Tamandua tetradactyla: one gene and its partners. The protein of the gene in region 2 interacts with the protein of the main gene of each other region in a biochemical or structural test. Links are inferred from orthologs where the notes say so. Each region holds a gene or a part of one and is shown on either strand. Other genes may lie near its edges.

What was found.
Region 1: the proteins of MAVS (region 2) and MAP1LC3A form a complex in vitro, tested with the Homo sapiens proteins (2 studies listed by BioGRID and IntAct, with this or other methods). The link is inferred for Tamandua tetradactyla from reciprocal best matches to the Homo sapiens genes MAVS and MAP1LC3A.
Region 3: of the proteins of MAVS (region 2) and TRIM31, one has a biochemical effect on the other in vitro, tested with the Homo sapiens proteins (2 studies listed by BioGRID). The link is inferred for Tamandua tetradactyla from reciprocal best matches to the Homo sapiens genes MAVS and TRIM31.
Region 4: the proteins of MAVS (region 2) and IRF3 form a complex in vitro, tested with the Homo sapiens proteins (2 studies listed by BioGRID). The link is inferred for Tamandua tetradactyla from reciprocal best matches to the Homo sapiens genes MAVS and IRF3.

What each region holds. Positions count from the first base shown.
Region 1 is NC_135327.1:18,193,084-18,199,459, reverse strand, and holds MAP1LC3A (microtubule-associated protein 1 light chain 3 alpha), read left to right. Parts: upstream 1-4,129; 5' UTR 4,130-4,449; coding exon 4,450-4,489; intron 4,490-4,791; coding exon 4,792-4,847; intron 4,848-4,940; coding exon 4,941-5,047; intron 5,048-5,281; coding exon 5,282-5,444; 3' UTR 5,445-5,458; intron 5,459-5,705; 3' UTR 5,706-5,873; downstream 5,874-6,376. UniProt on the Homo sapiens protein: Ubiquitin-like modifier involved in formation of autophagosomal vacuoles (autophagosomes). While LC3s are involved in elongation of the phagophore membrane, the GABARAP/GATE-16 subfamily is essential for a later stage in autophagosome maturation.
Region 2 is NC_135327.1:56,981,085-56,988,887, forward strand, and holds the start of MAVS (mitochondrial antiviral-signaling protein), read right to left. Parts: upstream 3,022-7,803; 5' UTR 2,941-3,021; intron 1-2,940.
Region 3 is NC_135331.1:84,619,396-84,627,274, reverse strand, and holds the start of TRIM31 (E3 ubiquitin-protein ligase TRIM31), read left to right. Parts: upstream 1-4,865; 5' UTR 4,866-6,604; intron 6,605-7,879.
Region 4 is NC_135342.1:11,485,420-11,492,498, reverse strand, and holds the start of IRF3 (interferon regulatory factor 3), read right to left. Parts: upstream 3,001-7,079; 5' UTR 2,585-3,000; coding exon of another isoform or gene 2,493-2,584; exon of another isoform or gene 2,476-2,492; intron 2,401-2,475; coding exon of another isoform or gene 2,314-2,400; intron 1,593-2,313; coding exon of another isoform or gene 1,450-1,592; intron 1,236-1,449; coding exon of another isoform or gene 1,121-1,235; exon of another isoform or gene 1,060-1,120; intron 743-1,059; coding exon of another isoform or gene 697-742; exon of another isoform or gene 426-696; intron 389-425; exon of another isoform or gene 284-388; 5' UTR 169-283; intron 1-168. Other genes in the region: BCL2L12 (bcl-2-like protein 12), read left to right, coding at 697-742, 1,121-1,235, 1,450-1,592, 2,314-2,400, 2,493-2,584, 3,375-3,656, 5,128-5,178.

The DNA of each region.
Region 1 (6,376 bases), about 39 Mb from region 2:
TCCTCTGAGTAGATACCTAGCAATGGTATTGCTGGGTCGTATGGCAATTCTATATTCAGCTTTTTGAGGAACCACCAAACTGCCTTCCACAGCGGTTGCACCATTTGACATTTCCACCAACAGTGGATAAGTGTGCCTCTTTCTCCGCATCCTCTCCAGCACTTGTCATTTTCTGTTTTGTTGATAATGGCCATTCTGGTGGGTGTGAGATGATATCTCATTGTGGTTTTGATTTGCATTTCTCTAATGGCCAGGGACATTGAGCATCTCTTCATGTGCTTTTTGGCCATTTGTATTTCCTCTTCTGGTAGGTGTCTGTTCAAGTCTTTTTCCCATTTTGTAATTGGGTTGGCTGTCTTTTTGTTGTTGAGTTGAACAATCTCTTTATAAATTTTGGATACTAGAACTTTATCTGATACGTCATTTCCAAATATTGTCTCCCATTGTGTAGGCTGTCTTTCTACTTTCTTGATGAAGTTCTTTGATGCACAAAAGTGTTTAATTTTGAGGAGCTCCCATTTATTTGTTTCTTTTTTCAGTGCGCTTGCTTTAGGTTTAAGGTCCATAAAACTGCCTCCAATTGTAAGATTCATAAGATATCTCCCTACATTTTCCTCTAACTGTTTTATGGTCTTAGACCTAATGTTTAGATCTTTGATCCATTTTGAGTTAACTTTTGTATAGGGTGTGAGAAATGGGTCCTCTTTCATTCTTTTGCATATGGATATCCAGTTCTCTAGGCACCATTTATTGAAGAGACTGTTCTGTCCCAGGTGAGTTGGCTTGACTGCCTTATCAAAGATCAAATGAAATGTCCATAGATGAGAGGGTCTATATCTGAGCACTCTATTCGATTCCATTGGTCGATATATCTATCTTTATGCCAATACCATGCTGTTTTGACCACTGTGGCTTCATAATATGCCTTAAAGTCAGGCAGCGTGAGACCTCCAGCTTCATTTTTTTTCCTCAGGATACTTTTAGCAATTTGGGGCATCCTGCCCTTCCAGATAAATTTGCTTATTGGTTTTTCTATTTCTGAAAAATAAGTTGTTGGGATTTTGATTGGTATTGCATTGAATCTGTAAATCAATTTAGGTAGGATTGACATCTTAACTATATTTAGTCTTCCTATCCATGAACATGGTATGCCCTTCCATCTATTTAGGTCTTCTGTGATTTCTTTTAACAGTTTTTTTTGTAGTTTTCTTTGTATAGGTCTCTTGTCTCTTTAGTTAAATTTATTCCTAGGTATTTTATCTTTTAGTTGCAATTGTAAATGGAATTCGTTTCTTGATTTCCCCCTCAGCTTGTTCATTGCTAGTGTATAGAAACACTACAGATTTTTGAATGTTGATCTTGCAACCTGCTACTTTGCTGTACTCATTTATTAGCTCTAGTAGTTTTGCTGTGGATTTTTCAGGGCTTTTGATGTATAGTATCATATCATCTGCAAACAGTGATAGTTTTACTTCTTCCTTTCCAATTTTGATGCCTTGTATTTCTTTTTCTTGTCTAATTGAAAAGCCACAAAATTTTTATGTATATATAAATACGTATAATTTCCTACTCACGAGTCTTGAAGCCCTCTACCTTTCTAGAGATATGATTTCCTTAAAAAGCAAATAAAATAGTGGGAGTCTCTTTCCATTTATTTTGGATAACCCATACGCACATACATATGCAGATCCACATCCACATACATATATATGAACTCATACTTTATTTAAATTAAATTTTTCATTGGTATGAAATTTCCATTCAGCTTCTACTATGTGCTGGACATTGTAGTGTCCTTAATTCCAAGAAGTTCAGATCTCATTTAGTTTTGACAAACTATATTTTTCTAGGAAATTGCCCATTTAATCTAAGGTTTAAATTATTGGCATAAAGTTGTTTATGGTATTTTTGTAATTTCTGCTGACTTGGGCCTCTTTGCACACTGTTTTATTGGTCTTTTAAAAGACCCAGATTTGATGCATTGATCCATACTAGTATATATTTTTCATTCATTAATTTCTACTCTTTAGTATGATATCCCTTCCACTTTGAGTTTATATTGAGTTTATACTGTTGCTCCTTTTAAAATGTCCTTAAAAGTGCTCATTTTCTAAATTCCTTAGGCTTATTGCTTACCTCCTACGTGCTGCTTTAGCCCCCCCCCAAGTTTTTATATGTAGCCTCATTTTTTGTTGGTTCTAAATATTTTAAATTTTTATATGATTTCATTTTTAAAGGGTTACAAGCATATTTAAATTTCCAACATTTGGGGCTTTCTTGGCTCTTCTCTGTGGTCATAAAATATGGTCTGTATGAAATTTGCTGTCTTTTTTTTTTTTTTACATTGGTGCCTAGAGGTTGGGTTATTTTTTGTAGATGTTCCATGTATGTTTTTTTCCTCCATGTATGTTTGAAAGTAACTTGTTGGCTTCAGGATTCTACGGAGGTCCACCGAGCAGGATTATTGTGTTAAAATCCTGTTTTGGTTGCTTTGTTTATCAGTTATTGAGAGAGGTCTGTTGAATACCTTCCAGTATGAGGAAGGATTTTACCAATTTCTCCTTGTTGTTCTGTCACTTTTGCTTCATATATATTTTAACCAGGAATATATAAGTTCAGAATTCTCTTCTTAGAGAACTGTTCTGCTCATTGTTTTGTGGTGACCCTCTTTTATCCCTAATACTGCTTTTTTGCCTTAAAGTCTATTTTGTCTGATTTTGCTATGACTACATCTTCTGGTTAGTTTTTCTCTGTACATCTTTTTAGTTGTGGTGTCTTTAAGGGCCTTCTTGAAACAGCACAGAATAGAATTTTATTTGTCTTGGCCAAATTGATCTTTTTTTTAAAAAAAAAAAAAAAAAGGTGAATTTAAGACATTTCTACCTGTGGTTTTGGGCTTTTAATTTACCATCCCTTTTTACTTTTTTTCATTTGTTTTCTTTGTCTATTATAATTTTAGGTACCCTTTACTACCCTTTTTCTCTTTTCTGCATTGTCAATAATACATTCCCCTTCTATTCTTTAGTCACTATTATTAATTGTTTAAAATACATACGTGACTTCACAAAGCCAGGCAAGTGTAACTCTAATTATACTCTGTCTTACATGCTGCTGTGTCTCATACAGCTTGTTTTGGTACCCCCAAGCCAATTATTGCCATTACTGTTCAATATTATGTGTTTTAGATCTACCTACACATTCACCAGTTTATTTGCTCACCATTTTTCCCCCCCCAACTAATTTCTTCCTCTTGAATTACATGGTCTTGTAACTGAAGTACATCCTTTACAGTTTATTTTAGCAATAGTGTTTTCTGTAAACGCTCTCAACATTATTTTGTCCCTGACCTTTTAATCATGAATTAACTACTGGCTGATAGTATTTTTGCACTCAGCAGTTTGAAGATACTATTACATTTTCTTCTGGCTTCTATAAATGCTGCTGAGAAGTGTGTCAGTCTAGTTTTATTTTTCAGGTAATCTAGCCTTTTTAATAGTTTTTAAGAGTTCATCTTTAGAGTTCTGCAGGTTTACTGCAAAGTGCTTAGCTACTGATTTTATTTTTATTTATCCTGCTTTGGATTTTCTGTGATGATCCTGAATTTCGGGAGCTCTACCGGCACTTCTCACATTGTCTTGTCTCCTTATTCTGATTGGATCTGTGAGTCTTTATCACTCTATCACTCATGTCACTTCTTATTTTCTACCTGTTTCTTCATGTAATTGCTTCTGATGTATTTCCAGTTTGGCGACTTTCTCTTCTGCTCTAACCTTTCTTACCCCTTCCACTGACTATTTTTCAATTCTAGAATGTCCTTTAGAGTCTTTTTGGTGTCTTGTACTTTCCGTATGCTTTAATGTCCCTCCCCCCCTCTGCTTTCCTCTAACCATTAAGACCACGAAGGTGAGGACTTGGGTTCCTTGATGTCATCCCTAGCATCCAGCAGTTCCCTAACAGGCGAGACCCTAGTACACGTTGGTCGAATGACTCGGTGAACCCGCGCGCTCTCTCAACCTTCCAGAACGTCACAGCCCAAGGTGGGTCAAGTACCCACCACCATCTCCCCTTCTTTCGGTCTCCGAAAAGGGCCTTGGGTAAATGCCCGCGCACGCCATGACGTCGTGCCTGTGACGCACCATGGGAGCGCGCCCTCGCCCCCACCCCCACGCCGCGTCTCTGTGCCGGGAATCCAGGCTCTCTGCGCCGTGACGCCACGAGACGGAACGGGCGGGTTTTGCGTCGGCCCAATGGGAGCAGCTCGCCGGCCTCCCCTTTAAGGAATGTTGTGACCTGACGTCACCGAGCGAGTTACCTCCCTAAGCCTCCGCCGCTGGGTTCAGCGCGAGCCCGAGAGCCCTTCAGCGTGAGGCGCGGCGCCCCTAAGCCGCACTCACATCCCCGCACCGCGCGCCCAGAGCCTTGGCCTGCGCGCCCCGCCAGGCCCGCGCGATGCCCTCCGACCGGCCTTTCAAGCAGCGGCGGAGCTTCGGTGAGGTCGGGCTGGTGATTTGTAAGCGTGGGATGGGGGGCGCAGGGGTAGGGGACGCGGACTGCCCTGGCCTGCCGCTGGTGACGTCAGCCCTGTGACATCAGGTTCCAGCTGGCCCCACGGGCAGGGTCCGGCTTGGGCAGGGGGTCTCCCTGCTTCCCCACCCCATCTGGTGCCAAGGGCTGCAGGGCTCAATAGCCCCGGGGAGTGGGGGCTTTGGCTGGTGAGGTGGGGCCGCCCCTCAAGGGCGGAGCCGCCGGCAGCACCTCTGCCCCGCCTCAAGTCCTGCTCTTCTTCTGCAGCGGACCGCTGTAAGGAGGTGCAGCAGATACGCGATCAGCACCCTAGCAAGATCCCAGTGAGTACCCCTGCCCCCTTCCTACCCCGTCCCTGGCCCGCCTTTGGCCCTCAGGCTCACATGTTCCCACTCTCCTGCCCACCCTACTCGCAGGTGATCATAGAACGCTACAAGGGTGAGAAGCAGCTGCCCGTCCTGGACAAGACAAAGTTCCTGGTCCCCGACCATGTCAACATGAGCGAGCTAGTCAAGATCATCCGGTGCGCGGGCAACTGCCCGGGAGGGGAACCTGGGTCTGGCTGGGGTTAAACAGAAGCCCAAATTCCCTCTCGAAGAGGCAAAAGTGGGACCCCTGTTCTGGGAGGCTGGGGAAGGTCAAGGTCTAGGGGTCAGTGCTGCCTCATGAGAGAACCTCTTAGAAGAGGCTGCGAGCGATTCTGGGGAAGGGGCCAGGGACTACCTGCATGCCCCTCACATTCACCTTCCTGCCTCAGGCGCCGCCTGCAGCTGAACCCTACGCAGGCCTTCTTCCTACTGGTAAACCAGCACAGCATGGTGAGCGTGTCCACGCCCATCGCAGACATCTATGAGCAGGAGAAAGATGAGGATGGCTTTCTCTACATGGTCTACGCCTCCCAAGAAACCTTCGGCTTCTGAGCCAGCAGCAGGGGGTGGGGGGGGCTGGCCTGGGAGTGGGAACCAGTCAGGGTCTGCCACTCCTGAACTAAGCTGCCTCTGGTGGGCTGGGCAGGGATGTGGACCCCAGTTGCGGGGGGGGGGGGGGGGGGGGGGGGCAGTCACCTAACTCTGCCCCTGCGTGGATCCTGCACCAGTCCCTTTAGGGTTCCCTCTTCAGTGCTGGCTCCAGCACCCCTGCTGTGTGGTTTGTCTATTTTTTTGTTTCTTTTTGTTTTTTAGGCCCCTGCCTGTCTGCCCATTTGCCCTTCAGCTACCCAAGGTGCTGCCCCCTGCCTGGATCTGCCCACCCCTGCAGGACTGGCCCCTGGTTCTCCCGACCTTGGCATGGTATATGGATCTGTGGTCACTGTCCCTCTGCAGAATAAAGATTGCTCAGGCCTGCCTGGCCCTCTGCCTCCGGCTGCTTGCTTAGGGGGTAGGGAAGGTTGATGGGAATGTCCTGTACCATGCTCAGCCTGCCAGGACTCACACTTGTATTCTGTGGCCTTAGGGTTTATTATGGACACTCATAAATCAGTATAGTATACCAGGGCAATAACTGTGGCCAGCCCACCTCTTCCAGTAGGGACTGTGGTCCCAGGACAGACATCATCTTAACAAAAAGAAAAAAAAAGCATTTATTGAGTAGCCACAACCTACCAGGCCTTTCCTACCTACTTCTTCCCCCTTTCCTGCCTGGGTGGGGGCACAATGGTGGGTGAAGCCACAAAGTAGGGGTCCAAGTGGAATTCTCCTGGTTCTTCCGCACAGGCCTGGTTGCCAGACATGATCCCCCTCCGATACCAGGAACCTGTGACCCTGGATTCAAATCCCACCTGCCTGAGGGCTTGGTCTTGCTCCTGCCCTTCTACTCCCTGAAGTCCATACAGCCCTGTGCCCAGCCAGGCCTA
Region 2 (7,803 bases):
GAGTGTCAAGTCAGGAGGCCACAGCAGTAGATGGACGATAGGTGTTCTAGTTTGCTAGCTCCCAGAATGCAATACACCAAAATGGAAGTCTTTAAAAAGGGGAATTTAATAAGTTGCTAGTTTACAATTCTAAGGCCACAGAAATGACAAATTAAAGTAAGTCTATAGAAATGCCAGATGTAAGGCATCCAGGGAAAGACACCTTGGTTCAAGAGGACCATGATGTTTCAGGGTTTCTCTCAACTGGAAAAGCACATGGAGAACACAGCAATGTCTGCTAGCTTTCTCTCCAGGCTTCTTGTTTCATGAAGCTCTCCCAGGGGCATATATCTTCTTCATCTCCAAAGGTCTCTGGTTGCATGGGCTCTGGCACTCATCATTCTCATGACCCTGCTCTGTTGCTCTCCTGTCATTATCAAGCTTTTTCCAAAATGCTTCCTTTTTTAAAGGATTCCAGTAAACTAATCAAAACCCACCTGGAATGGGTGAGGCCACATCTCCCTCTAATGAAAGGTTAATACCCACAAGAGGTGAGTCACATCTCCTTGGAGATAACTAATCAAGTTTACAACTTAAATTATTGAATAGGGATGAAAGGAAAAGGGTGCTCCCACAAAATTGGTTTTGGATTAAATCATGGCTTTTCTAGGGCACACAAATCCTTTCAAACGAGCACATTTCACCCTCTGGACCCTAAAAAAGACATGTTCTTCCCATATACAAAATACATTCATCTCATAACAATATCAGAAAGCCTTAAAGCATTTCAGTAGCAATATAAATGCAATACAAAGTTAAAACTAGTACAAAGTCTCATCAAAGTCAGCTGCAGGTATGGTCTGTTCTAAGGTAAAACTCTCCTCTGGCTCTGGACCTGTAAAACTCAGAACAAGTTATTTGCTGCCAACATACAAAGGAAGGACAGTCATAGGATACACAGTCCCATTTCCACAGGGAGAAATTGGAAGGAACACAGAGGTCACCGGATCCAAGCAGTTTCGAAAACCTGTAGGGCAAAGTTCATTAGGTTTCAAGGTATGACAGTCATTTATCTTTAGGGCTTTAGAAAGTGGCAGTCCCACCCTTTCCAAGCGCCTACACAGTGGCTCGCCTCTCTGAGTGTTCCCACAAGACTGGATTAGGATTAAAGCATGGCTTTTCTAGGGTATACAAGTCCTTTCAAACCAGCACAATGAGTATGGCCAGGATGGTAGTCACGGTGGCAAGGGGTAGGTAGCTTCCTGATGTCTTTGGATGTTGGAGGTAAGGGAAAGAAAAGATTCGAGGATGACTCTTGGGTGCTGGGTGGGGTAATTGACCAAGGTAGAGAAGCCAGGGGAGAGGCAGCAGCACCGAGGGAACTTCGCAGCTCAGTTTTGAGCAAGTGTAGCATGAGATGTTATTGGATATCAGGAAGGGAAAGGGGTAGAGGGGAGGGCCAGTTTGGAGTAAAAACATGGGTGTCAGGCTTGGGTAAGACCTCCTGGAGACAGTGTTGCTGCACAGAGGACGTAAAAGCTGCTGAGGCAGTCAGCCCCTTGCCACATGAGAAATGGGGTAGTGGTCCTGTCTATATGTCCACAGCCTCACATTAGAAGACCTGCTTTGATAATCACCGTGTACTACATACGTTCTGATAGGGTGAGTGCTAGTGACAGGTCAAGGAAGCTCAGGGAGGTGGGGTACTGAGTAGGGCCTTCAGGAGACAAGCAAACTCTGTGGTGGGTAATGGACCCCTCTCTCCTTCCCTCCCTATGGCACCAGGTACCAGGAAGGAGTCAGATGAGGCTCTTCTGCTGCATCTCAACCTCATCTTTAAGGGCAAGTGGGGGAGAGCAATGTAACCCAAAAAGAAATGTTTATGTATCTTTATTGAGGGACTACTATAGAAAGGCACCTCCTAAGGTTCTTCCATTAACTCTCCCTGTGGTTCCAAGAGAGAGGAAGTGATGTCAGGTCCCACAGCGAGCCAGTGGAGGAGAATTTGAACTCGGATCTTGATGTTTCACAGCAGTACACCATATGCCTTGTTGGCACAGTGAGATCCACATGGCCCCCTGTATTCAAGCCCAGGAAGGGTCTGAGGCCACTTTGGTGGGGCAGGGAAGTCATTGGGTAGGTGTGCGCCTGGGAGGATACTCCACTCATTCTCTTCTCTTGAAAGTTTTTGGAAGAGGTTGAAGACATCTAAGGCAGCCACTGTTTGCAGTTCACAGACTGTCCTTCCAGATGTTTACGGGGCTTTCGCGGCATCCAAACAAAGAACGGTGTTTTTGTCTTATTCAGGGTTTTTCTGGAACCTCCTTCCCGATTCAAGAGAAAGGAAGTGGCCTTGCGTTCAGGGTGAGAAGCGGAGGGTTTTCAACCTGACCGATCCAGGGAGCATTCCAAGAAAAAAATAATCACCCACCCGGGAGGAAGGAGGCCTCAGATCCTTGGCCCGGGTCCCTGGGCCAGACCCAGGTCCGGGGAGGGAGGAGGGAGGGGAGGGTGTTTTTCCATGCAGTTATCACTGCCAGGAACTCCCGGACACAGGGGAAACTGTCAACCCTAGACCCCGAGGCGCGGCCGCCGCCTTCACGGGCTCGCGCGCTCGGGCTCGCGCTCGGCCTCGCCACGAGGTCACCCTGGGCCTGGGAACAGTAGGAGGAGTTAAGGCTGGGTGCCGCGTCGTCTTCCGGACCAAGCTCCCCTCTAGCCCGAGCCGCCGCCCCGCGCCGCCGCCCGCGGGTGAGTGCAGCACGTGGACCCCCATGATCCCCCCATGATCCCAAGCCCCATATGCCGCCGGACCCTTTCTCCCCGGAGCCGCCTTGCCCCGAAGCCCGCGCGTCCGGCGGACTACCACTCCCCCTCGGCTCCTGCCGCCGCGGCCCACCTCCACGAAAGGCCTCGGTGTCTCTGGGCCAAGAGACCGGGCGCCCTGGTCGGCGACCTTACCTCTGGAGGCCGGACCCGGCGACCTGCAGCTGCAGCCTCCAGCCGTGAAGTCTCGGGGCGGGGCTGACGGGCGCGGAGCCAGGGGCGGGGCCGCGCGCCCATTGGCGGCAGCGGGGGCGGGGCCGCGCGTCCGGCGTGGGGGCCTGTGGGACGGGGGCGGGGACTTGGCCTGCGGCGGCCGGGAGCCCGGCCGAGGGGCGCGGAGCCGCGTGCCTATTGGCCCGGAGGCGGACGGGGCCACGCGAGGGCCTGTGGGATGGGGGCTGGGACTTGGCCTGGGGTGAGAGGCGGGTTGCGTGGGGTGTCCGGGCTGGGTGCAGTTCCAGTTCCTGCTGGGGCAGTAAGTTATTTTCTTCCCTTGTACATCGCGAACAACTTCCAGGGGAAGTCTGCGGTCTCGCCAGAAGCGAGGCAGGCGGCGGGCCTCGGAGTCTCTGGGTGGTTTGGAGTTCCTAGCTCATATGCCCTGGGTGAAGCTCTCCCTCTTTCCACCGTGCTCTGAGGGGTGAGGGGCTTTAATCTCCTTGGTTCATGAGTCCCAAGTTTTGACACACAGGCGGCATTCAATAAACGGCAGCCCTGGAAAGCAGTCTGGTGGTTCCTCAGGAAGCTAAGTATAGAATTGCCATATGATCCAGTAATGCCATTACTAGGTATATATTCAGAGGACCTGAGGGCAAGAACTCAAATGGACATTTGCACACTGATGTTTATACCAGCATTATTTACAATTGCCAAGATATGGAAACAGTACAAATGTCCATCAACCGTGAGTGGTAAACCAAGCTGTGGTATATACATACGATGAAATAGTATGCAGCTGTGAGACAATAAATTTATGAAGCATGTAATAACGCAGATGAACCTTGAGGACATTATGCTGAGGGAAATTAGCCAGAAACAAAAAACAAATACTATATGGTCTCACAAATACAAACTAACATGAATGGGCAAACTTGGAGAATTGAAGTTAATAACATAGGCTATCAGGAGATTGAAATAGGGTAGAGAAGGGACATTTGGTGCTGAAGGAATACAGTTTGTGCAACAGGACTGATTGTAAAAATTCAGAAATGAATAGCACAATAGTACCTGATTGTAGTACGATAATGTTAGTAAACTGAAAGAAGCTGAATATGAGAATGATGGAGGGCTGGGGGCACATATGACACCGGAAGAAAAGATAGAACGTAAAGACTGAGAAGGTATAATTAAGGAATGCCTAGAGTGGACAATGATGGTGATTAACTATACAAATAAAAAAAAGTTTTTGGATGAGGGAAAACAAATGAACACCAATATTGCAGGCTGTTGAAAATAGAAGGTATATGGGAAAAAGTACAATCACTGCAAGCTAGGGTCTATGTCAACAGTGACATTGTAATATGCTTCCAGTGAATGTAACATAGGCCTTATGCCAAAACTAAATGTCAAGGGGAGGGTATGGGGGAGAGGTATGGATTATTTGTGGAAGAAAAGGAAATGTCTTTAGATAGATTACGGAGGTGAAGGCATGTCTATACACAGGCTGGATTGTATGATGTGTAAGTAAAACTGTTTAAAAATGAAAAAGATAAAAACTTTAAAAATAAATAAATGTTCAGGTGACACTCAGGGATCACGAAGGCCTGTGTGCGCAGTCAGGCGGTGTGCAGGCTGGGCGGGAGGCAGGGGTGGCCCAGTGGGTGGGTGTAGGGCAGAGGCCAAGCAGGTGGTGAGCCACACAGGAGGCCCCCTCCGCCAAAGGCTGTGGGGCACCCCACCCCCACCCCACCCCATGCTCTTCGCAGTCCACTGCTGGGTGGACGGCAGCAATGATTGAGCCTCCACTATTTCAGGGGCAGGTCTTAAGAGTGTAGGGCCCATGAAATACTCGCACAACAACCAGGTAGAGTAGGTTTATTCTTCCTCTTTTATAGAGAAATTAGAATATTTGGGAAAAAGTTTGGTAGTTTTTACTAAAGTTAAAATGTATGTCAACCCTGTGATTCACCAATCCACTCCTGGGTATATGTCCACCAAGAAACATGCACACCAGATAATGTTCACAGCAGTTTTTATTCATAACAGCCAAACTCAGGAAACAATCCACGTGTACACCAACAAGAGAGCAGACTGACAAATGGTAGTATATTCACATAATGGAATCATATAGACCACAATGAAAAACTGTTGATACTCAAACACGGATAACCCCACCACATGATGCACGACTGTTGAAGGCAAACTCAGATGAATATGTGCCACCTGTTACCACTCTCCTAAAGTTCAAAATCAGGCAAAACGAAAATCTACATAAATAGAAATCATTGCTAGTTATCTCTGGAGTGCTATTGTTCTGTTGGGAGCACAAAGGTGCTGTGCTTGTTTGAAGCTGTAACCCAGAAAAGGCAATGTTCTTTTAATCCATTCCTGTGGGTGCAGACCTATTGTGGGTGAGACCTTCTGGCTAGCTTATTTTAATTGAGTTGTGACCCAGTTCATTCAAGGTAGATCTTTTTTTTAGATTCACCCTTTATTCCTTAAATCTGCAAAATAAACTGTCTGCAAAGATGGTAAAATATACCAGAAATGTGTAAATTCAAATAGTTCTAATAAGTCTTTTGTTGAATTTTCCTGAGGAAATAATAGGATTTCTCTATTTAGCATTGCCATCTGTATAGGGTAAGCTCTTTAATCATAGAAAATTAAACATTAAGAAATTGTGTATGATTTTTCAGCCAAATAAACTGAAAGAACTTTCCACATACTTGTCACATTATATCTGTATTATTTAGCATAAGACTAATTTCTGGATTTCTCTGTATCAACTGCTGCATTTGTGGATTGGCCATAATTAACTGCCTCATCAGGTCAGGATTTGACAGTATGCTCTGGACAAAGGGATTTTCCATGATCTGAACCATCATTTCAGGGTTGGACATACGCTGCCACTGCATCTGGCTTTGTAGTTCAGAGAAGTTAGATGTATTCAAACCCAAGCTACTCAGACCTGCAAGCCTTCCAAGGCCACCTAAACCGAAAGGGTTACTAGGGGCAGAACCAGATGTGGAGCTACTATTAGGAGCAGATGATGTGGTAACATTGCTTCCAGTGGTGTTTGTTTGCTGAGCTGAATGAACCTGAGGCCTGTTTTGTGATTTGATGACAAGGTGAACAGTAAGTCCATCATGAATTCCATGCTGACTCAAAGTATCTTGATCTTTTAAAATTTTTCCAGCAAATATTAACACAAGTTGGTCAGTATGCGATTTGAAACACTTAGAGATTTCTTCCTTGAACTGGCTCGTTTAGGCTGCGGCCGCACTGGCGTCCATGGACCAAGGTGAGCGCAGCCCCCCCCCCCCCCCCCCCCCCCCCCCCCCCCCCCCCCCCCCCCCCCCCCCCCCCCCCGCTAGCGGCTTTGGGCGAGTCCTGCACGGCCGCGCGTGAGCTCCATCCTCTCTCCCTCTTGGCTGCGCGAGCGCGCCGCGTCCGCCCTCTCTCAAGGTAGATCTTAATCCTTTTACTGGACTCCTTTATGAGAGGATAAAGGACAGAAAAAGCTGAGAGAGCTTAGAGAAAAGCCCCAGGGGAGCCAAAAGGACCCACAGAGGAAGCCACTGGAACCAGAGCTGAAAGCAATGAAACCCGGGAGTGAAGGACCAGCAGATGCCGGCCTCGTACTATGCTATCTGACAGAGGAACCCCTGATCCCAGCAGCCTTTCCTCAGAGAAGGTATTATCCTGTTGATGCCTTAATTGGGACATGTTCATGGACTTAGTACTGTAAATTTGTAAATTAACAAATCCTTGTTGTAAAAGCCAACACAGTTCTGGTTTACTGCATTCTAGCACCTTTAGCAAACTGAAACAGGTGCCTTCTAAGGGGATGAAAATGTTTTATATCTTGATACGGGTGGTAGCTACCTGGGTTTGTGCATATGTAAAAAATGCATAAGCTGTACACTTAAGTTTGTTACATCCTCTGTACCACAATTTTTTAAAGAAAAAAAAAAAAAGAGGGGTTAAGAGATTTGGCAGAGATAACCTGCAAATGACTAAGTTCAGTCCCAGCTCCAAAGCCAGTGCTTCCAAACTCGATCACAGGAAGAGGCCCGATCGCTTTTCAGATGAGATTTTATTACTTTCCTCAGTAACTCTGGATATCTCACCACCTTTGGCAGCTGGGAAATGTTCTTAATATCAAGCCTGAACCCATCCAACTGTAAATAAAGCCATCTCTGCCTTGGTTGGTTAGCCAAGACGGGGTAAACTTTGGTTGGAAACTAAACCCCCACCCTGTAGCACACTCCAGTGGCCTCACATCTAATCCTCGCCAGAAAAGCACTGGAGTGTGCTACAGGCTTCCAAGAGCAGCTGCCAACCCTTCTACTGGACCTCAAGGGATATTAAAAAACCCAGCCTACTGTGGTCTAAGGGGTTTCGTGTCACCTGTTGGTAGCTTTTAAAAAATTTAGACAAAGGAAGGCACAACAGCATGTCTGTGGTATTCCTGCTGAAAATGTATAAAATGAAGCTAATTGTGAGGAGACATCAAACAAACCAAAAATGAGGGACATTGTAGTGCTGTGCTGTTTAATATAGTAGCCATTAGTCACATGCAGCTATTTTTATTACAATTAAATAAAATTTAAAATCAGTTCCTCAGCCCTGCTAGTCACATTTCACATACTATTTTGAGCAGATAGAGGCATTTCTATCGTCATGAAATGTACAGTTAAAAAAAAAGTTCAGCTGGACAGCACTGAGGTACAGAATAACTCTTCAAAAATGTCAAGGTCATGCAGTACAAGGAAAGCCTGGAGAACTTTTCCAGACCAAAGGAGAGTAAAAAGACATGCGACTCAATGCAACGTGGGA
Region 3 (7,879 bases), on a different chromosome or scaffold from region 2:
CCTGTATGGAATACTCTGATTGGTAAAGGACCTGGTTGAAAGGAATGGAGCTACCTTGGGATTGGAACGTGTATGAGTAACTGGTTTGCTGTCATTACCTGGTTGGACACACCCACCTCAACAAAGATAGGGCTACACAATTAGCCACTTCCTTGTAAGGAGGGGAATTTATAAGCTTCCAATTCCAAACTGCTGAGACATGGAGAAGAGTCAAAAGGAGCCATCAAATGCAGAGGGACATAAGGTGAGGCTGAGAGTGAGTGTCGGCCTGATGTGGGAGCCCAGCAGAGAAAAGACGTCAGTGACAATCTTGCTGTAATAGCGGGGTGGGCAGAGGTTGAACTACCATGCAGCAGCTCCCTTGCATCAACCTTAACTGAGGCCTGAAGAGGGGTTTGCCAACGTGTTCACATGGTCATAATATTTTGCGCAATTTGCAAAATTAATATATATTTTTAAAATATTTTTATTGAGAAATCTTCACTCACATATATTCCATACATGGTGTACAATCAATGCCTCACAATATCATCACATAATTGTTTATTCATCGCGATCTTGTTTCTCAGAACATTTACATCACTCCAGAAAAAGAAATAAAAAGAAAAACTCATACATACCATACACCTTACCCCTCCTCTCATTGACCATTAGTATTTCAATCTACTCCATTTCTTTTTTCTTTTTTTTTTTTTTTCACATGGGCAGGCACCAGGAATCAAACCCGGGTCTCTGGCAAGGCAGATAAGAGTTCTGCCACTGAGCCACTGTCATACCACCCTCTACTCAATTTATTTTAACCTTTGTTACCCCTATTATTTGTTTATTTTTTATCCATATTTTTTTACTCATCCTTTTACACTCCTGGATAAAAGGAATATCAGACACAAGGTTTTCACAATCACATAGTCATATTGTAAACATTATATCTTTACACAAATCAAAACAAATATATTTTAGACACAGCTAATATTACTGTCTTTTTCTACTTCAATCTGTCTGTCACCCTTCTCGTTGGGTCAAGTGGCATTTTGGGCACCTGGCTAAAGAGAAACGGAATTGGACTTACATTATTCAGGTACATTACACAGTGCACAGTCACTTCCTTCTACAGTTAGTTTATTGCTAGCTGTCGCCGAAGAGAATGGCTTCCAGGAAAACTTCCACCACCCACTGAGACAAGACACTGGCATAAGAGACTAAAGTACGGGTCCAGAGCACATGTGATAAGAACGTGTCTTGTCAATAACGTAAGTACACTGAATGAAGCTGAGTGTGAGAAGGATACAGGGAGAAGGGCTGGGGACACATATGAAATCAGAAGGAAAGACAGACAATTAAGACTGAGATGATATAAACTAGGAATGTTTAGAGTGCACAATGATAGTGACTAAAGGGTACAAATTAAAAAATGCTTTTGCATGAGGAAGAACAGAGGAATGTCAATATTGCAGAGTGTTGAAAATAGATGGTCATTCATATTTTAAAACTTCAACTTCTGTGTGAAACTAAAGCAAGAAATGTTTATTTGGTGCCAAATTTAAATTTTGACCAGTGCATTTCCTAATTTAACTTATATGGATAGTTTAATTGAACACCATGGAACCTTGAATAGGGCATGAGATTTTGTTGGTTTGCCCAGGTTAGTGTGATGCCCCGATAAATCCCAGAGTGATTTCCACAGTGAATAAAGACATATTTGCAAAGTCCCTTTGGAGGACTGGGGGAAAAGGCGGAAAATTCAACTTCCCCATTTGGAGACTTCCTGATATTCTCGCAAGCAGTGGGGACAACCAAATCAATAGGCTGAGCCGTCAATCTTGAGGTTTGCCCCATGAAACTTATCCCTACGTAGGATAGGCTATTATCCTGGAGGTTATTCTTACGCATTAAATAGATATCACCTTGTTAGTCAAGACGTAATGGAGAGGCTGGAGGGAAGTGCCTGAAAATGTAGAGCTGTGTTCCAGTAGCCATGTTTCTTGAAGATGATTGAATAATGATATAGCTTTCACAATGTGACTGTGTGATTGCGAAAACCTTGTGTCTGATGCTCCTTTTATCTACCTTATCAACAGATGAGTAAAACATATGGAACAAAGATGAATAATGGGGGAACAAATGTTAAAATAAATTTAGAGTCAAGTGCTGGTGATTGTTGATGGCAAGGGTGGGGGTATGATATGTATGAATTTTTTTCTGTTTTCTTTATTTCTTTTTCTGAATAGATGCTAATTTTCCAAGAAATGATCATGATGATGAATATGCAACTATTGTGAATTACTGATTATATATGTAGAATGGAATGATCAAAAGTTACGAATGTTTGTGTTTGGCGTTTTTTGGTATTTTAAAAAAAATTTAAAAATAAAAAAAAAACAAAAAACAAAGGATAGGCTAAGCCTACTTAAATTCATGCCTAAGAGTTACCCCAGAGAATCTCTTTTGTTGCTCAAATGCGGCCTCTCTCTAAGCCAACATGGCAAGCAAACTCACTGCCCTCCCCCTCTCTACATGGGACGTGACTCCCAGGGGTGTTAACCTCCCTGGCAATGTGGGACAGAAATCCTAGGATGAGCTGGGACTCAGTGTCAAGGGATCAAGAAAACTTCTCAACCAAAAGGGGGAAGAGAGAAATGAGACAAAATAAATTGTCAGTGGCTGAGAGATTTCAAACAGTTGAGAGTTTATCCTGTACATTATTCTTACTAATTATTCAGATATCTCATTTTAGTGTATGGTATATTAGAGTGGCTAGCAGGACATACCTGAAACTGTAGAACTGTGTTCTAGTAGCCATGTTTCTTAAAGATGATTGTATAATGATACAGCTTTTGCAAAGTGACTGTGTGATTGTGTAAACCTTATGTCTGATGCCCCTTTTATCTATGGTGTGGATAGATGAGTAAAAAATATGGATGAGAAATAAACAAATAATAGGGGGAACAAAGGTTAAAATAAATTGAATAGATTGAAATACTAGCGGTCAATGAGAGGGAGTGGTAAGTAGTATGGCATGTATGAGTTTTTTCTTTTTTCTTTCTTTTGCTAGAGAGATGCAAATGTTCAAAAAACTGATCATCGTGAAGAATACACAACTATGTGATGATACTATGAGCCATTGATTGTAATCATGTCAAGAATGTCTGTATGTCAAGAATGTTTGTTTGTTGTTTACAATTAAAAATATTTTTTAAAAAGTACATGTCTTGTGGCATGACACACCATGAGTCTGTGAATCATGGAACCAGTAAATCCATCCAACCCTCAGATGCAGAAAATTTTAAGTGTACAATTGTTCTCATCAATGGTTAGTCAAAATGAAAGTTTTCTTCAGGAATAAATTTAACATTGCAACCTATTTAATTATATAAACATCATACAATAAAGTTGTTTTTGCATATTTACGTCATACAATAAAGTTGTTTTTGCATATTTCTATATGAAATCACTAGAAATCATCCTGACATCAAAAAGTGAATCGAAAATGTTCTTTTCATGAATTGTGACAAATGTACCACACTAATGCAAGGCATTAATACTAGGGTGGTATGTGGGACCTCTGTATTTTATTATACAAGGACTTAACAAGAAACAGCTTAAAGTCCTTCAGCAATTTAAAGACAATTTAAGGCTAGTCACAACCCGAGGAATCTTGAAATGTTCTGAAATCTTAGAGCTCACATAAGAAACTCTTGACAGAGGTTTCCCCCCAAATTGATGTTATTATGAATACTGAGTTGTGAAACTGAAATTATTTTAAATAATAAAAAATAAATTTTGATTAGCCACGTTGGAGGAAAAACCAAATTATTTATTCTCACCAGAGAAAACACATTACAAATGAAGAGGCAGTCAAAAAATATAATTCTAAGTATGTTGGAAAAATATAGAAATGGTTGACAGTTAATTAAAATATTTTTCTGGATTTTTTTATGTTTGTGTTATTCCTCAGCTTTTAAAAATGTGTAATTTGTTGTCATTATTTTTCTCATTCTGAATAAATATTTACTTTGGCTCTTAAATTTATGTTTCTAATTTTGTATCCTTTTTTTCTTGAAGAGGTCCCCAAAACCTATAAGCTTCATGCACCACAGACCTGGAACCTTTTATAAATTTTAAATATAAGTAATGACTAGGTTCTTAGATATTCTGATAATCAACTGATGAAGAAAAATGAACCATATAAGCACACTGAACTATTTCAAAATTTCTCATCCATGTTGCACGAATCAACGCCCCCACCCTGACTTTTCAGGCAATGGGAGCGCAGTGCAGACAGGTCCACAGATGGGGCTCAGTTTCTATCAGAAAGCCCTAAGTGAGAGTTGACAGGGGGAACAAGTTGCCCGGTAGGGTGACTGGCAAGACTCAGAGGGTGGAGTGACAGGTGAGAAGCCGAGTTCCTGCCCCAGCCAGCCAAGCCCAACGACCTGTCTAGCCTCTGCTGAAAGTCCAAACCCCTCCTAGAGATCGGCTTCAAACGGTTTCTTAACAAGGCGCCGAGGCTGGGCTGCCGTGGGCGCAGGCTGTGTTTTTCTCTGCAGCGGCGGCGAGGTTTGAACACCGTGGTCTGCGCAAAGCCTGCACAGACAGGCATCCGGGCCCTAGGGTGCTTCCAGCCGGACCTCCCCAGCTTTTTTTTTTTTTTTTTTTTTTTTTTGGCATTCGTGATCAAATATGTGCTTTGAGACAAAAATACATCCCTACCGAAAGTGGAGCAATATAAGCTAGGATTCACCCAAAAAGGTTGCTTTTTAAATATGGCTTTTAAAAACTGCCTCTCTTTGGGGCGGGCGCGCATGCCCGGCGCCTCCTTGAGCGCGCTCTTCCCGTCGCTCTTGCTTCAACCTCCCAACGTTCCCCAACCGCTAGAACTGTCCCATTCCCCGCCCAGCCGCTGCGGGGGAGATAGCACGCCCTGCCTCTCGGAGCACTGACCTGGTCGCCCTAGCTGGGCCTGCAAGCTGAGCCGGACCGCCCTCCTCCGCCACCAGCCTGTCTCTGCGCCGCCTCCTCCTGGCGTTTCCTGGCCCTGCGAGCGTCAAGTCGGGGGCGCCTGTGCCTTGCCGCTCACCCGCGTCTTTCTCCTGCTCCATTCTACAGATGAGGAAGCCGAGGCCCTATCTTGAAAGGAGGACCCCCAAAGGTCCCTGACAGTAGTCACCAAAAGCAAGTACTGTAAGTGACCCTGAAAAGATTGATACCTGAATTCCTACAACAGAGCAGCCTGAGAAAACCCGCCCCGAAACGTTTCCCCTGAGGATCTTCGGTCTTTGAAGCCACCCCATACCAATCCATTTAGGAAAAGCCCTGGGAACAGTTACCCAAAACCAATGGAATGAAAAAGCCTTCTTTAAGAGAGGGCTCCATGGAGACTTTAGCTGACCTACAGGTTTTTAATGCATCATTCAGCACCTCTGAATATTTTCTGTTTGGCTCCTCTTTCTGCCTTTAGAGCTGGCTGCAGCTCCAATCTCCTTGTCACATCCTGGTCTGCAAACTGAGACCTATGAGGGGCCTTTATGCTAGAGAGCAGCTCCTTAGGCTGGTGTTGACACTGAAGCTAGAATTCTCCAAGCTGCAGCTTTTGCCTGCACTTAAGAGGCTCTGGCGTGAATGCACACACATGTCGGCTTTTTTCTGTTTATACCTGGAAAGGAGGACTGTTCTGATTCCGGCTCCTGTGGTATATTAGGTGTTTAAGAGGTGAGATTCTATTCCAGCCCTAATTTGGGAGGAAAGGGGCCAATGTCTGTGTGTGAGAACAGTCCATGGAGACTTTACTACTAAAGAAAAAAAGTGTGTGTGTTTTTTTTTCTGAAAGCTGAGGTCCAGAGAAGGACAAACCCCTGAAAACTGGAGGCCTGGAACAGAAGGGTTTCCGCTTCCATTAAAGGGCTGAGCAACTCAGACTGGCCCTCCAAGTGAATGCACCTTTAAAAACTGGATAAAATATTTTTAAAATGTCTTTCTCAAAACTCCAATGGCCTAGTGAGGAATTGTAGTAAAAGTAGGGGACCTATAGAGGCAAGCCTGAAACCTGAGATTGCTTCTTTTCCAGGTGCGTTTGCTGACCCAAAAGAGGAAGCTGAGCAAGCTGCATTTTTGGCAGCCTAAGGGAACTAGAAGTAGGATCCCAGGCCCAATATCTCAAACTTTGAGCTTGTTTAAAGTGACTCTGGACTGCCTGTGCCAAAAACAAAGGAAAATCCTTTGTGGGGGGAAGTTATCCTGGGCCTCAAGTTTTTCCTGTAAGTACTCATGCAGATATATCTCAGACACGAAGATAGTAGGGCACCAGACAGACAAGACATCAGGAGAAAAGCAGAAACCACAGATATCAGAATCACACCCAGAAGGACGGCCAAGCTGTGACTTACCAGTCACAGACTGAACGACTATATGTATATACTATGTCCAAGGGGATACAAGCCAAGCTTGAAAATTTTGCAGAGAAATTTTGATAAGTGGCGTGGCAGATTGGAAAACAAAAACGAAAGAAAATTCTAGACTGAAAAAGGGTGCCGGGTGCTGGAGTTGAAATGCCATAGAGATTCAAGTATACCTTGTTGGTCTGCTGTGAACCTGGGAAGAAATAAAGGTGAGAGACTATGTGACCACAAAGAGAAATGGAGGGGTGAACTTCCAGCTTTCCAGTTCTGCTTGTTACCATGACAAAATGCTGTAGCCAAAATAAATACATAATTTAATTTTAAATAAATCATTTTTAAAGGGTTATATGTTCACTTGGTTCAAAAATTAAGGTATAAAATGTTACTTATTCAACCCATCTGCTGCCACGCCTATATCCCTCCCCACAGGTAAAAAACACTTTTATAAGTTTCCTGTGTATCCTTTCAACATTCATGCAGATAAGTATTTTTGTATTTCACCTTGTTATTAAGCAATATTTTGCATGCTTAGTACACCGTTCTGTGCCTTGCATTGTTCACTTAACAATATAGCCTAAAGGTTTTTGTCCCATCAGCATACAGCCTCTCTAAAATGGCAACAGAAATTGAGTCCCAATTTTATGCTGGCTGCTGTGGTAAGTGCTGAGGACATCAAGATGGAAAAACATGGTCATAGGTAAGGACCTTCATTCCCACAGTCCTTACGGGAAAGTTTTTCTAGAATTTGCCTTCAGAATGGACCCCATTCATAGGCTGCCTCTGGGTGTGCATCCCACTGCTTCCGCATCCATCGGTGGTGAGGACAGATCAGCCTTCCACCCTGCTGACTTAGCAGAAGCTCTGATTTCAGTTGAGAGCTGACCTTGCAACAGGACCAGGCTTTGGCTAGAGAGAATTTGGAACCCAGGAAGGAAAGGAATGATCAGGGCTGCGTTCACCAAGGAGGTTTTAAGGTGCAGGGAGAGCCCTTGTAAGGAGGTGGAAATTCAGATCTGGGGTGAAATGAAAATGGGCTCTGCAGCAACCTCAGGGTCGACCCACACTGAAGTGTCAAGATCATAGAAGGGGAAGAGACCCCACCACAAACCTAACATTCAGAGGGCCGCTCTCCTGTACTCTCCATCTCCTCGGGGCCAGGCTCACCCAATTTTGTGCTGGCTTGTCTGTGTCTCCTGAAACAGGATTTCAAAGCTGCCCACTATCCTAGTTGCCCTCTTCTCAGGCAGTCCAGTCTGTGGGTTTCTTTATAAAAACATGGCTCCCAGAGTGAGGAATTTACAACCACATAACAGCTAAGAGCTCTGTGCCGGGTTCTGGGCACAATACTTCCCGATAAAAAAAAGTACTGCCTGATAGGGGTGTGTTGAGACTCTCTGCTGCAACCGTATTTGTGTTTCTTGCCAATTTTTAAAATGCCATTTATTGCACAAATAGCATAACTACTGAGGTTGGGGATTAAGGGT
Region 4 (7,079 bases), on a different chromosome or scaffold from region 2:
CCTGCACCTAATGACCTAGGCCACTGCCTCCTGCAGCTTCTCCCGCAGTTTCCCAGCGTGGCCCTTTCTTGTCCCCAGAGTGCACACTCTCCCCATCGCCCCTTCCTCTAGCGCCTCCTCAGTCTGCGACCTCCCCAACACCCTCCCCAGCTCTTCCGCGTTACTCACCTCGGGACTCGCCTCTGTCTTCTGGGCTCCGGGATAGCTCTCCAACTCCAAGCGGCGCACCTGACTTCCCTCCAGCCGGACGTCAGAGCCGTGGGACTTTCTTTGCTACCGACGTCTTGGGATAAAACCCTTTATATAATTTGGGTATAATGATATGCACACCCTCCGGATCTTTTTAGGCAATCCGGTCACAGGCAAGGCATGCTGGGAATGCATATGCAAATAAGAGGGCAGCCGGCGCTCTGGCCCTGCCCTGTCTTGGTGCCGCCCACCCCGCCCAGTGCGCAGGCGTGGGAACGGTAACTTCGAAAGTTTGCCGAAGTTGCAGCGCGGGAGGCGGCGGAGGCGGGGTCGGGGATCAGGTGAGCCGAGCCCTGGCGAGCACCAGGGCGAGCAGGGAAGAGGAGGGGGTCGCGACCCCGAAGCGGGCAGCGCATCCCCGCCTCAACGACACCCAAACGTCCCAGGCCCCCAAACTCCAGCCTCAGCCAGATACGGAACTACACCTCCCAGCAGGCTACGCAGCAAATGAGCGCAGACCGAGGGGAATTTGGCACGAAGCCCTCAGGGATTGGTAATTCTCCGTCCTGGCTGGGCTTCGGTAGCTTGGCTTGGAATCCAGGGGTCGGAGCCCCCAGCCCCCTCCTCCCTGAGACTCAGGAGTCCAGGCCCCCGGTACCCTCCTCTTCCAGGATCCAGGAGTCTTGTCTCAGTGCCTCCTCAGCCCCCTTCTCCCTCTCAAATTCAGGAGTCCAGTCTCCCCAGTCTCCTCCTCCCTTAGACCCAGAAGTTCAGCCCCCAGCCCCTTCCTCTCCCAGGATCCAGGAACCGCAGTCCCCACTCCTCCCATGGGGACCCAGGAGGACGCGCCTCTGACCCTTCCTCCTTCAGGTGCCAAGCCTCCTCTTCCATGTGGACCCTGCGTTCCAGTGCCTGGCTTCCCATCTCACAGGTGCCCCTATGGCAGGCTCAGAGGAGTTGGGGCTCCGGGATGACACACTGAGGGTCCTAGCCGCCTTCCTTAAGCAGGGCGAGGTGTCTGGGTCCCCCGTTACAGCTGCACCCAGGTAAGAAGGGTTGTCCTCCTCCCCTCAAGGGTCCATCTTTGGGGTGGGTCCCTCTCTGACTCTTGCTTCTGGTCTCACTCTGTCTCCTTCCTTCCCTTCATACCTGGTTCTTTTCCCCCGTCCCTGGGGCTACAGGGAGAGGCCCTCAGTGGGAGGAAGAAGGGACTGCTTGCAGGAGGCCTCTGGGGTCACTCTCTGAGGTTCTCCTCTCCAGGAGTCCCACCCAGGAGCAGCCAGCCGACTTCCTGAGCCGCCTTCGCCGATGCCTTCCCTGCCCCCTAGGGCGAGGAGACGTTCCCCCTGACTCCCCTCGGCCTTGCTCCCTGCCCCTCCGCCCCTGCTACAGTTCAGGGCCTGGTAAGAGATTTCCCCAGATCACCTGTGAAACCAGCAGGGCCAAGAGCCTTGATTCCTGAAGCACAGATGAGATCAGGAACTAGTTCAAGACCTCAGTAAGCCTCACCATCCTGCCCTGCCCCAGGAAATCTCTATTTGGGCTGGCTGTGAGAGGCCTGTTGGTTCCTCTCTCTTTGTCATCTCTCTCCTTCCATCCATGCCTCCCTCTCCCCAGACTTTTCTAGTCACAAGTGCCCCCCAGTAGGGAAGGAGAAATGATTTTCAGTCATGCCACTCAGGTTTTGGGGTTGGAAGCTCAACCAAAAATCCTTTCCCTTCCTTGTACCTCCACTCTCCAAAGGCAAAACTAGGAGACTAGTTTAGACTTAAGCAAGAATGGAACAGGTTTCCTCTCATGTGAGTCTGGGAAGACTAGTAATGAGAAGATAAGCACTGAGATCACTGGGTGATGCACGAAGTGGGCCAGACCCAGGGCAGAAAGAGCAGAAAGAACACTATTAGTTTTTCTACCTTGGATGGGAACATCTCCAAGGTTCCGTTTAGCCCTCACATTCTAAGTCCAGATTGGGGGCATGAAGTAGAAAGAACCAGGGTGTGGGGGTCTTTTCAAGCTTGTTCACTGTACTTTGGTGTCCCCCCCCCCCCATTATAAAATGGAAATCATTGCCCCATGGTTGAGAGAAGGAAAGAATGTAGAAGTCACTGATTCCTTTCACCCCAGGCCCGGCTACTCCAGACTTCTATGCCCTGGTGGCCCAGCGGTTGGAACAGCTGGTCCAAGAGCAACTTAGATCCCCACCTAGCCCAGGTGAGGTGCAGAGGCACCGCGCGGGAGGTCGGGAGGTCGGGAGGTAGCAGGGTAGCCACAGTTCGCCCCCAGCAGAATTCTTTTGCCTCCAGAGTTACAGGGTCCCCCACTCACGGAGAAAGAAGCCCTGCTGCGGAGGCTGGTGGCCTTGCTGGAGGAGGAGGCTGAAGTCATCAACGAGAAGGTGATGGTCCATCTCTTCCGTTTCTCAAGGAGGATGGGAATTGGCGGTTGGCAAGGCATTGGGACGAGAAGCTAGATCTGCATTTTCATTGGCTGGTCAGAAGGGGAGTGGGTGGGACAAACCTTAGAGAAAGAGTTGAGTGACAGGAAGTATGGCCAGGGGAGTACTTTAGGCTACTGGCTGTCATTGGCTTAGAGGGGCGTGACCTGTATGTGAAGGGCGTGGCCGTCAGAGGCAAGATCTAGGCAGGAAATTGGGCTAAATTGGATATGTGAGAGGAGGTATCCTTAGGTGGGGGGAAGCGAGACTGTTTAAAATCTGAGGCTCGGATTGACTTCAGCGAGGTCATGGCTTAGAGTGGAACGGACTGCTGGAGGGGGCATGCCTTGCGGCCGAGCTCTCGAATCTGATAACTCCAGAGCTTGGGCAGAATACATGGCTTTACGACAATAGAATGGCAGAGGCCCAGGTTCTTATAGGCCTTAGTTAGGGTTCCGGGGCTCTGATTGGCTCGGCAGGACTAAGGGGGCGTGGCTGAGAGATAAACAGTCTAGAACTCCGCTGCTGTAGAGGTTGGTCCTGATTGGCTGTCGAAACCTAAGGCATGGCTTAGCGTCTGTTTCTAGACCCCGCCCCTGGAACTAATTTCTCTGAGCCCCTAGAACGTGCCTTATAATGAGTTGCTGTTATAGGTGGGGGCGGGGCTTAGAGTCAATTTCTAGGTCTCCTCAGGCCCCCGCGTGGGGGCGTGGCTGAGGTGGGCTCTGCCCCTTCTGTCCCCACCCCACAGCTGGCCTCGGACCCCGCCCTGCGCCGCAAACTGGCCCGCCTCTCCGCCGCCTCTTTCGCGCGCCTCGTGGAGCTCTTTTCCAGCCGCGGGAGCGGCCCGGGCCCCGCACATGCCTCGCAGCCGTGCCCCGGACCCCCTCCGCCCTCCCCGGAGCCCCTGGCGCGCCTGGCCCTGGCCCTGGAGCTGAGCCGGCGCGTGGCCCACCTGGGGGGCACCCTGGCGGGACTCAGCGTGGAGCACGTGCACAGCTTTGCGCCCTGGATCCAGGCCCACGGGGGCTGGGTGAGCCGTCGCAGCGCCTTCCGGGCCTCGCAGCACTCGACTGAGCTGTGTGTGTGGGGGGGGGCGGCTTCTCAGGCTCCCCTTCCAACTGGCAAGTGCCCCCCCCCATTGAAGCCCTCCGTTCCTCTTGTGCACCAGGCACAGGGGATCGGTGCAGAGGCTCTTCCTGTCTTAAATGGTTCTACCATGCCGATGACCCCCGTGAGCCCCGAAACTAACCACTGTCCCTCCTGGCGCCTCTACACGTCTGTAAAGTGGGGGGAGTGGTTGGATTAGGATGGGATACTTGGAGGGTGCTGGCTCCGCGGGGACATTTGGTGCCTGGCTGTCCCCCTGTGGCTGTCCGAGTGCCCTTCCCGGCTATTCCTCTGCCTCCCCTCTTTGCTAATTTACTCAGGGAGGCCCCCCTCACCTCCACTGGGATTCTCAGCCATCTCCCTGCCCTTCCACCCTCTCCCTTCCTTCTCCTGCTTTCCTTCATCCCACCGCATTCACACCTTCTAACAGACGCTCGTGTAGAGCTCACTTGTTTTGCATGTTTGCAGCAGCTACTTAGGATCAAGATTTTCTCCCTTGTCTGCCCGCTGCCAGCGCCCTCTAAGGGCTGGATTAGGGCCCATTGTTCTGGCCTTGCGACCTTGGCAGCCTTTAGCAACAGTCTTGTCCCCGAGCCCGTCTGCCGCCTGCCCAGTGCTCACGGTTTCCTTCGCGGACCCGCCCCGTAAATCACAGTGGGAGCAGTGAGAGGAGGCCGTGCGGGGCTCATGAAATGGAGCCATCATCGCGCAAACGGGCAGCAGCGGGCGAGTGTGGCTGGAGCAGGATGAGCGAGGCAGGGGGCGGGGGGATTTGGGCGGGGGGCGGGTGAGGAGTGTCCAGATCCTGCAGAGCCTAGTGGGCCTCGGCAAGGAGCGGGCCTCGGGAGGGCTCAGGGACGTGGGTTGCTGACTGTGGGAACCGGCGCCCTCTGGTGGCCGCGTGGGGAATGGACTCGGAGAGGGGGGGTCAAGGAGGTGGGGAGCCCTGGTGGGAGGTTGGAGGTGTCCACCTAGCCTTCGGGCGCCCTTTAGACCACCTAAGCGAGATGTTTAGGAGACAGTGGACATAAGTGTCTGGGACTCAGCGAAAATGCATTTATTTATAAAAAAATTTTTCTGAATAAGGATAATGGGTAAGCTGGGGTGAGCATTGGCGGTTGGGGGGCAGGTACTTAGGATAGTAGCTGAGCCATCCAGTTAATCTGCATGACAACTTTATGGGGTTCTGTTACCCTCATCTTACAACTGAGGGAAACTTCATCATTAAAACCCCAGACCTCTGGGTCTCCGTCCCCCCCCACCCCCCCCCACGGGTCTATGTCCCCTTCCCCACTTGTTCGTTGCTATCCCCTGTCTCTGACCTCACCGGGCCAGGGTGGATACCGCTGTGCTGAGGTCACCTTCCCTGATCACTGGGCTCTTTCCCCCTCCAGGAAGGTCTCCTGGCCATCTCCCCTGTGGACTTGAACTTACCCCTGGACTGAGATCATCCTCAGAAGCTTCTACAGAACTCGACCTCACGTCCCCGCCCTTCTCAGGTGCTGTGCCAGGAGTCCCCGCTGCACTCAGGACTGGGGGGATGGGGGCTGGGAGGGCCGCCTTTTCTATTTTTGCCAAAAAATATATATATATGTTTCTAAACTTTTTATATTAAAAATTTTTTTAAGTGTTTATTCTTTCACTTGAGAACTAAAGTGTCTCCTTCCCCAAGAAGTTAGGCTCAAGTATCACTGTGGTTTATTAATTGAGGAAAGAACCAAATCCTTCCTTGGAGAAAAATTTCTTCTCAGCAGCTACAAGAGTTGTCACCTGGACACACAGCATTCTTGATATCTGTAAAGATGATTCCAGCTCATTGCATTTTGTTCCCTGTTGGTACCATATGTTTATCCCAGCTAAACCAGTAGAGATAGTGTTGGGGTTTTTCCAGCTAGTCCTGGAAGAAGATCAACAACTTTCTTCAGGGAGTTTTCAGGGTACCTTCCTTTCCCCGTTTTTCTCCTCTCTTCCTGTTGCTCCTTCTGAACCTTTTTGGGGTTTCACACCTTTTTAGGGCTATTGATCCCTTCACAGAGTAACACTTCTAAAGGCAGGAAATGAAATGCACAGGGTTACAAAGGAAACCAATGGTACAGAAAAAGTTATCACTATTACCGTAAAAATTGATGTTGTAATAATAGGTGTGCTTCATGAGTGCATTAATCAGAAAGACCCAGTGTGTGTCTGATGACCTTGATTTTGAAGTAGTCATGACAATGATTGACATTTTGAAGGGTGTCATGCATCGAATGGTCTCCCCCTGTGCTGGTTTGAAAGGATGTATGCCCCCTAGAAAAGCCATGTTTTAATCAAAATCCCATTTCATAAAGGTAGAATAATCCCTATTCAATACTGTATGTTTGAAACTGCAATCAGATCATCTCCCTGGATGGTGTGATTTAATCAAGAGTAATTGTTAAGCTGGATTAGATGAAGACATGTCTCCACCCATTCGGGTTGGTCTTGATTAGTTTCTGGAGTCCTGTAAAAGAGGGAACATTTTGGAGAATGGGAGATTCAGAGAAAGCAGAGCAGAACAACATAGCCACGAGAGCTCATCACCAGCGACCTTTGGAGATGAAGAAGGAACATGCCTCCCAGGGAGCTTCATGAAACAGGAAGCCAGGAGAGAAAGCTAGCAGACGACCCTGTGTTTGCCATGTGCCCTTCCAGATGAGAGAGGAACCCTGACTGTGTTCGCCATGTGCCTTCTCACTTGAGAAAGAAACCCTGAACTTCATCGGCCTTCTTGAACCAAGGTATCCTTCTCTGGATGTCTTTGATTGGACATTTCTATAGACTTGTTTTAATTGGACATTTTCTTGACCTTAGAACTGCAAACTAGCAATTTATTAAATTCTCCTTTTTAAAAGCCATTCTGTTTCTGGTATATCGCATTCTGGCAGCTAGCAAACTAGAACAACCCCTAAAAAGATAATGTTGAAATTCTGATTCCTGATACCTGTGAACATGTTCTTATTTGAAAATGTCTCTACAGGTGTCATTAAGTCCAGATGAGGTCACACTGAATGAAAATGGGCCCTATCCCCATATGACTCATGTCCTTATTGGGAGCAAAGGGACAGGGAAGTCACCCATGTGAAGATGGAAGCAGAGACAAGAGAGGCAGCCACAAGCCAGGGGCCACCAGAGGTCACTGATGACCATCAGATGCTGGGAAGAGGCTTAGACCTGCCAACACCTTGATTTCAGGCTCCTGGCCTCCTCCACTACGGAAGCATGCATGGCTGTGTGTTTGTTTTTAATGCAATTTTATTGAGATACATTCACATACCCTATAATCATCCAAAGTCTACGATCAGTGGTTCAGAGTATCATCATATAC